Saccharomyces cerevisiae S288C: one gene and its partner. Changing the gene in region 1 together with any one later gene gives a genetic interaction. Each region holds a gene or a part of one and is shown in the gene's direction. Other genes may lie near its edges.

Region 1 (3,760 bases):
TAATCAAATTGAAGGATGTTGAAGGAATTGATACTTTTATCCAGCATTTCGATAGAAAAGGCATTTGGAATGAAGGTGTTGTGATGGACGATATGGATGATGTGACGTTTTTTTATTCAGATAACGATTTTTTTGATTTAGATTTAATCTTAGAGCTTATGAAAGAGTCAGATTTTAAGCGTCTCTCATACAGACTTGCAAAGAAGTATTCAAAGGATTCATTAATTATTGTGGATATTTTATTGAATCTATTGCATAACCCTGTAAAAGCCATAAAATACATAAAAAGTTTACCAATTGATGAAACCCTAAGATGCCTTGTGACGTACTCGAAAAAATTACTGGAGGAGTCACCGAATGAAACTAATGCTTTACTGATAGAAGTATTTACAGGGAAGTTCAAACCATCCACTTTTGAAGTGGATCTGGACCGGAGAGATACGACGGGCGATTTTTCTGAAAATATTAGAACAGTTTTTTACAGTTACAAAACATTCTTCAACTACATGAACTCAAATGGTACATCAGACGCAATGAGCGAGTCTTCAGAGGCATCCCACGAACATGAAGAGCCTACTTATCATCCGCCGAAGCCATCCATTGTTTTCAGTTCATTCGTTACAAAACCTTTTGAATTTGTTGTTTTCTTAGAAGCCTGTTTGGCATGTTACCAGCAGTATGAGGGTTTTGACGAAGATAGGCAAGTAATTTTGACTACTTTATATGACTTATATTTGAATTTGGCGCAAAATGATGTACCCGAGCGTATAGACGACTGGCGTTCAAGAGCAACTGGCGTATTGCGTGAGAGCAATAAATTGGTGTATTCTGCCGCAAGTAATAATACTAGCAAAAGGGTGGATAACTCAATAATGCTGTTAATTTCCCATATGGATCAAAGTAGTGCTTCAGCAAAAGATAAGACGAAAATTGACATAGCTTCATTTGCCAATGATAACCCCGAGATGGATTTGCTGAGTACATTTAGGGCTATGACGTTAAATGAAGAACCAAGTACTTGTCTCAAATTCCTAGAAAAATATGGCACAGAGGAACCCAAGCTCTTACAAGTAGCATTGAGTTACTTTGTTTCTAATAAACTAATCTTCAAGGAGATGGGCGGTAATGAAGTACTGAAAGAAAAAGTATTGAGGCCAATTATAGAGGGGGAAAGAATGCCACTGTTGGATATAATTAAAGCGCTATCCCGTACAAATGTAGCCCACTTTGGGCTGATACAAGACATCATTATTGATCATGTCAAAACCGAAGATACAGAAATCAAAAGGAACGAAAAACTAATTGAATCTTACGATAAAGAGTTAAAGGAGAAAAACAAGAAGTTGAAGAACACCATTAATTCAGATCAACCTCTCCACGTACCCCTGAAGAATCAAACGTGTTTCATGTGTAGACTGACATTGGATATTCCTGTAGTTTTTTTTAAATGTGGTCACATTTACCACCAACATTGTCTAAATGAGGAAGAAGATACTCTAGAAAGCGAGAGAAAGCTCTTTAAATGTCCCAAATGCTTGGTGGACTTAGAAACCTCCAACAAACTTTTTGAAGCTCAACACGAAGTAGTTGAAAAGAATGATCTTTTGAATTTTGCATTAAACAGTGAAGAAGGTAGTAGAGACCGTTTCAAAGTCATAACAGAGTTTTTAGGTAGAGGTGCCATCAGTTATTCTGACATCACTATTTAATGATGGATCATAACGATCTATTGTCGCCGCCGCGTCACAAATGCGCCCCGAACTTGTCGCGAAGTTAATCTGAAACATATATGTTACCTACTGAAACAGCGCATGTTGGAAAAGACAAAGGTGAAGACGAAGTTGTATATTTAAGATAGACCCTTTATACATCCTTTTGAAAAAATTATTAATGTGGCAACCGTCTTTTATTTGACAAAGTATCTTTTTTCTTTGTGAAACCAATTTTAGGTTTTCTTGTTATAGTAAGTTCTTAAGAAAAAGACAAGAAAACCCCTTGCGATGTTTAAGACTTCATATAACTTGTACGATTTGAACTATCCGAAAAATGATTCATTAACGCCAATAAGAGACTACAAAAATGACTATTTTCATAAAAATGATGACAAATTACCAGAAATTGTTAGAAAACCTACGAGAAAGTTATCGAAACATGAAAACAAACTCAACGATAAAAAATTCACGAATAAACGACCAGCAAGTCTGGACTTGCATTCTATAGTGGAGAGCCTGAGCAATAAAAAAATTTACTCTCCTATTAACACAGAGATATTTCAAAATGTCGTGAGACTGAATTTGAGCCCTCAGATTCCCAATTCTCCTCACGAGGGATGCAAATTTTATAAAATCGTACAGGAGTTTTACCTCTCTGAAGTGGAATATTACAATAATTTGTTAACCGCAAATAACGTATACAGAAAGGCATTGAATAGTGATCCAAGATTCAAGAATAAACTTGTCAAGCTTGATTCAAGTGACGAGCTATTGCTTTTTGGGAACATTGACACTATTGCGTCAATCAGCAAAATACTGGTAACGGCAATAAAAGACCTACTTTTAGCCAAGCAACGTGGGAAAATGTTGGATGCGAATGAATGGCAAAAGATATTCACCAAAAATGAGGTACAACAGCAGCTATATTCAACTTTTGATATTTCAGAGGCGTTCGAGCAACATTTGTTAAGAATCAAATCCACCTACACAAGCTATTTTGTTAGCCACCAAAAACAAATGGAACTATTTACTACATTAAGGATGAATAAGAATCATTTTTTTAACAAGTGGTATGAATATTGTTTAAAAGAGAGTGGATGTATAAAGTTAGAGGACATATTGAAAAGCCCGATGAAAAGACTGACTCAGTGGATTGATACTTTGGAAACTTTGGAAAGCTGTTACGAAGATATTCTTTCGCCAGAATTGGGCTTGAAACTAAGCCCGACAAGAAGAAAATATTCTTTATTTTCCAATAAGTTAGAAACCGAGGTCTCCGAGTATAAGAGTAATTCCATGTATAATTTCAGTTTAACCCCATCAGAGATTATACAAAGTTATGATGAAGATCAGTTTACACACCTTTTAAAACCCCCAGACAAACAAAATAAAAATATATGTAATGCATCTCGACAAGAGAGTAATTTGGATAATAGTAGAGTTCCTTCTCTTCTTTCTGGATCATCGAGTTACTACTCAGATGTATCAGGGCTAGAAATTGTCACTAATACTTCAACTGCCTCAGCTGAGATGATAAATCTAAAAATGGATGAAGAAACAGAATTTTTTACATTGGCAGATCACATCAGTAAATTCAAGAAAGTAATGAAAGGTTTGTTAGAATTAAAAAAGAATTTATTGAAAAACGATCTGTCAGGCATTATTGATATCAGTTTAAGAAGAATAAATGCATGGAAAAAGGTGATCGAGTGCGAACGCCCTTCTGGTGCATTTTTTGCGCACGATAACTTAATATCGACCATGTGTTCTTCGTACATAGATAAACTGCATGAACAAAAAAATCAAGTAACAATTTTGAAACTCACAGAGCTCGAAACAGATGTGATGAACCCACTTGAAAGAATCATAGCCCATTGTACTACCGTTAAAAGCAAACTAAAAGATTTGCAAGCTTTGAAGAAAGATTACATGTTATTTTTACAAGAAAAAAAAGCAAATGTGCGAGATATTAAACGTGACTTGTTGGGAATGCATTTCCAAAACCTGCAAAACCAGATGAAAAGGGAATTACCGGTCTTTATTACTTT
Region 2 (3,760 bases), on another chromosome or scaffold:
TCACCAACTCCCATCTGGTGGGCTCACCCGCTGATTTCGTATCTTCGTTCCTCAAGCTTTCATTCAATGAATAATGCGTTTTCGATGAATCTTGTTGTTCCTTCTCCAAAATAACAAATTTCTCCCATATCCCAGAATTTTGCCACACCAGAACCAACGAATCGTCTTGTTCTCTATTATTAGAGTCTTGACACCAGCCAATTCTACATCTGTCTTTATAGAACTCGTTATCGTGAGTTACATCACCACTGTTGTCATTTCTGTGAGCGTCAAAGATTGGGTTCTTTAAGTGAGCATTGCATATCGACCACACAGAGTCCAAATACTTGGGCCTCCATAGGCCCTTCGGTATATAATTTTTCAAGGGATGGCTCGAACCATTGGCACGAGAGTGGTCTGGTGTATTCGTTTCTGTATTGGTTGTTTCAAAAATTTGGAAAATATGCAATGTTTGCTTATTTGACAATACGGCCAACTTACTACCATTGGGGCTGAAACTCATCTCGTAAATATCCGCCTTGTCCACCCCTCTTCTAAATTCTTTGATTAAAGTACCGTTATGCGTACTGAAGATTCTTATAAGTGTACCCTGGACGGAACATGTTGCTACCATGGTGCCTTGACGGTTCAGTCTAACCAGTTTGATGGGATTTTTATGTGCTTTAATGATGGAAGTGGGCAAAAGCGCTGATTCCTTCGGGTTTTGTGAATTATATTTTATTTGTGATAGGTCGGCTACTTGAATTTGGCCTACGCATTTATTCGATGGGAATGCAATGATTTCTAAGATTTTAGACTGTGACTGCGATGCTTGCGACTGGAGATGTTTGCTGCTACAAACGACATAGTCCACTGATCCATTGGGAGGGATATCCAAAATAGGACAAATTCTTTGAGGATTGGTTTGAAATTGGAAGATCTCTATTGTGTTCTCCAGGACTACCACAATATGAATCCTAGATAAAAACACGTCTTTAATGGAAGACATAAACTTCAAAGTAATCGTTTCCTTTTGCAAAAGATCATCCCAGATGATCAGTTTATTTAGAGCATGCCTTGGTCGTTTACCACCTCCGACTAGTGCGATGTAATTCGTACGATAAAGCATCCTGGTATAGCCAATCCCAGTGCCCCTGGATTGGTTGGTCGCAGACTCTTTAAATGTTTTCGATAGCTTACTAGTCAATGGATCTGTATTGAAAATACGAAATCCATTCTCTAACGCCACGCTGAAACACGAATCATCTTGGTTAAACGAAACGCTCAAAAATTTTGGTTTCCTCCTGTTGTTGACTGCCTCCCTTATAGGTCGACGAACATCCATCTGCTAGTTATGTATGCTTATAGTTGTCCTCTAATAATCGCTGCCTTTCCAGATCTTCTGGTTTCTCTTCCCTTTAACAATAGCCCCCGCAGTACGTATTACTAAGGTAAATAAATATAACCGGCTTTACAAGCCAGAAAGCCGTGATCACGTGATTATCAATTTCTTTATTTCATTTCGCTCAGATACTGCCAAAAGCCCCTGATCTTGAACACAAAGGTAAACAACGTTAATATGAACCTGGCTATCATCATTAGGATAGGCTCATTTTCTCTTTTTAACTCAGGCCCCTTTCTTGCACTGTTACCATAGGATCTTACCAATTTGCATTATTTCCGCCAACTAGCGGATATCCGCTGTATTTCCGCGCTTCTATATGCTATGGCTGGAAATACAATAAAAAGTGTCAAGCAGAACCACTACATTAATTTAAAGAAAAATGTCTTATATCAAAGAATCGGCACTGTATCAATTGATTATATATAATGCTAGAGTTTCCGTACCCTCTTGCAACGTCCTTTAAATCTTGTATCTTTTCTTCTACAATTGTAGTAACACCACGTCTACATTAGTATCTAAATTGCAGCCCAATGAAAGGCGAACCTAAGACTTACAGCATGAGCGACCTCTCATACTACGGTGAGAAAGCACAACAACAGAACGAGAAACAGCAAAAACAATATGTTGTGAGACGAAATTCTACGCAGTCAACATCAAAACAAAACGTGAGCGTGGTGCTCGAGGACAACGCCAGCGAAAGTAATGAACTACCTAAAGGGTTTATCTTGTACGCATCTTTGATAGCATTGGCTTTGTCGCTGTTTCTGGCAGCCTTGGATATCATGATAGTTTCTACAATCATTGAAGAAGTAGCTAAACAGTTTGGATCGTACTCTGAGATCGGGTGGTTATTTACCGGGTATAGCTTACCAAACGCTCTGTTGGCGTTGATATGGGGAAGAATTGCCACACCTATCGGATTCAAGGAGACCATGCTATTTGCTATTGTCATTTTTGAAATCGGGTCGCTGATCTCTGCTTTAGCAAATTCAATGAGTATGCTCATTGGTGGTAGAGTTATTGCTGGAGTCGGCGGTTGTGGTATTCAAAGTTTATCGTTCGTCATTGGTTCAACCCTGGTAGAGGAGTCGCAGAGAGGCATACTAATTGCTGTTTTGAGTTGTTCGTTTGCTATTGCATCTGTTGTTGGGCCTTTCCTTGGAGGAGTTTTCACCTCCAGCGTCACATGGAGATGGTGCTTCTATGTTAATTTACCGATCGGTGGCCTAGCATTTTTCTTATTCCTGTTCTTTTATAACCCAGGTTTAAGTACATTTCAAGAGACAATGGATAACATCCGCAAATTTCCATCACAGTTTATCGAAATTGTTCGGAATGTAGCATATCATTTATTGAAAATCAAAGGGTTTAGCAAACTTAATGGGTGGAGAAAGCCGTTCATGGAATTGATTTTCATGTATGATATTATCGAGTTTGTGTTTTGTTCAGCTGGATTCACATGTATTCTATTGGCTTTCACATTTGGCGGTAACCGGTATGCTTGGAACTCTGCATCCATCATTATTCTTTTCATCATCGGTATAGTCCTGGTAGTGTTAGCAGGTATCTATGATTTCCTTGTCTTCCCCAAATTTAATATAGTGAAAGCAACACCACATTACCAACCATTAATGTCATGGACAAATATCAAGAAACCAGGTATTTTCACGGTTAATATAGCCTTGTTTCTCACTTGTGCAGGATATATCAGTCAGTTTACGTATATTGTGCAATACTTCCAATTAATTTACAATGATTCCGCCTGGAGAGCCGCTGTACACCTGGTTGCTTGCATTATTTCTACAGTCGTTACAGCAATACTTTGCGGTGCTATCACCGACAAAACCCGCCAAATCAAACCGATTATTGTTATTTCAAGCATTTTTGGTGTTGTTGGTGCGGGTATATTAACCCTATTGAACAATAATGCCAATAACTCTGCTCACATCGGCCTTTTGATATTACCTGGCGTTGCTTTCGGTGGTTTGGCACAAAGTTCCATGCTCGCTTCTCAAATTCAGTTAGACAAGAAGAGCCCAACTTTTCGATCAGATTTTGTCTCTATTACCACTTTTAACACATTTTGCAAAAATCTAGGTCAAGCACTGGGAGGTGTCATCTCTAACACTGTTTTCAGTGCTGCTGCTATCAAGAAATTAACCAAGGCTAATATTCAGCTCCCAGATGGTACCACGGTAGACAATCTGGTAATCTATAGGCAGACCAATTTCGATGGCTCTCATTCCAAATTGGGCAATATAATTTCTGAATCTCTCACTGACGTCTTTTACATGGCATTAGGATTTTATGCATTATCTCTCATTTTTGCTGTTTTTGCTTCAAATAAGAAAGTCACAGCAAGCCTGAGATAAGTTA

Evidence for each region.
Region 2: mutations in FUS2 (region 1) and AZR1 together harm fitness more than expected from each alone (negative genetic interaction), as found in Saccharomyces cerevisiae (2 studies listed by BioGRID).

What each region holds. Positions count from the first base shown.
Region 1 is NC_001145.3:734,926-738,685, forward strand, and holds the start of FUS2 (Fus2p), read left to right. Parts: upstream 1-2,000; coding exon 2,001-3,760. Other genes in the region: tethering complex subunit PEP5, read left to right, coding at 1-1,709. UniProt on the Saccharomyces cerevisiae protein: Promotes cell fusion during zygote formation.
Region 2 is NC_001139.9:940,892-944,651, forward strand, and holds AZR1 (azole transporter), read left to right. Parts: upstream 1-1,914; coding exon 1,915-3,756; downstream 3,757-3,760. Other genes in the region: phosphatidylinositol-3,5-bisphosphate binding protein HSV2, read right to left, coding at 1-1,324. UniProt on the Saccharomyces cerevisiae protein: Transporter protein required for adaptation to high stress imposed by low-chain organic acids, in particular by acetic acid, and for resistance to azoles, especially to ketoconazole and fluconazole.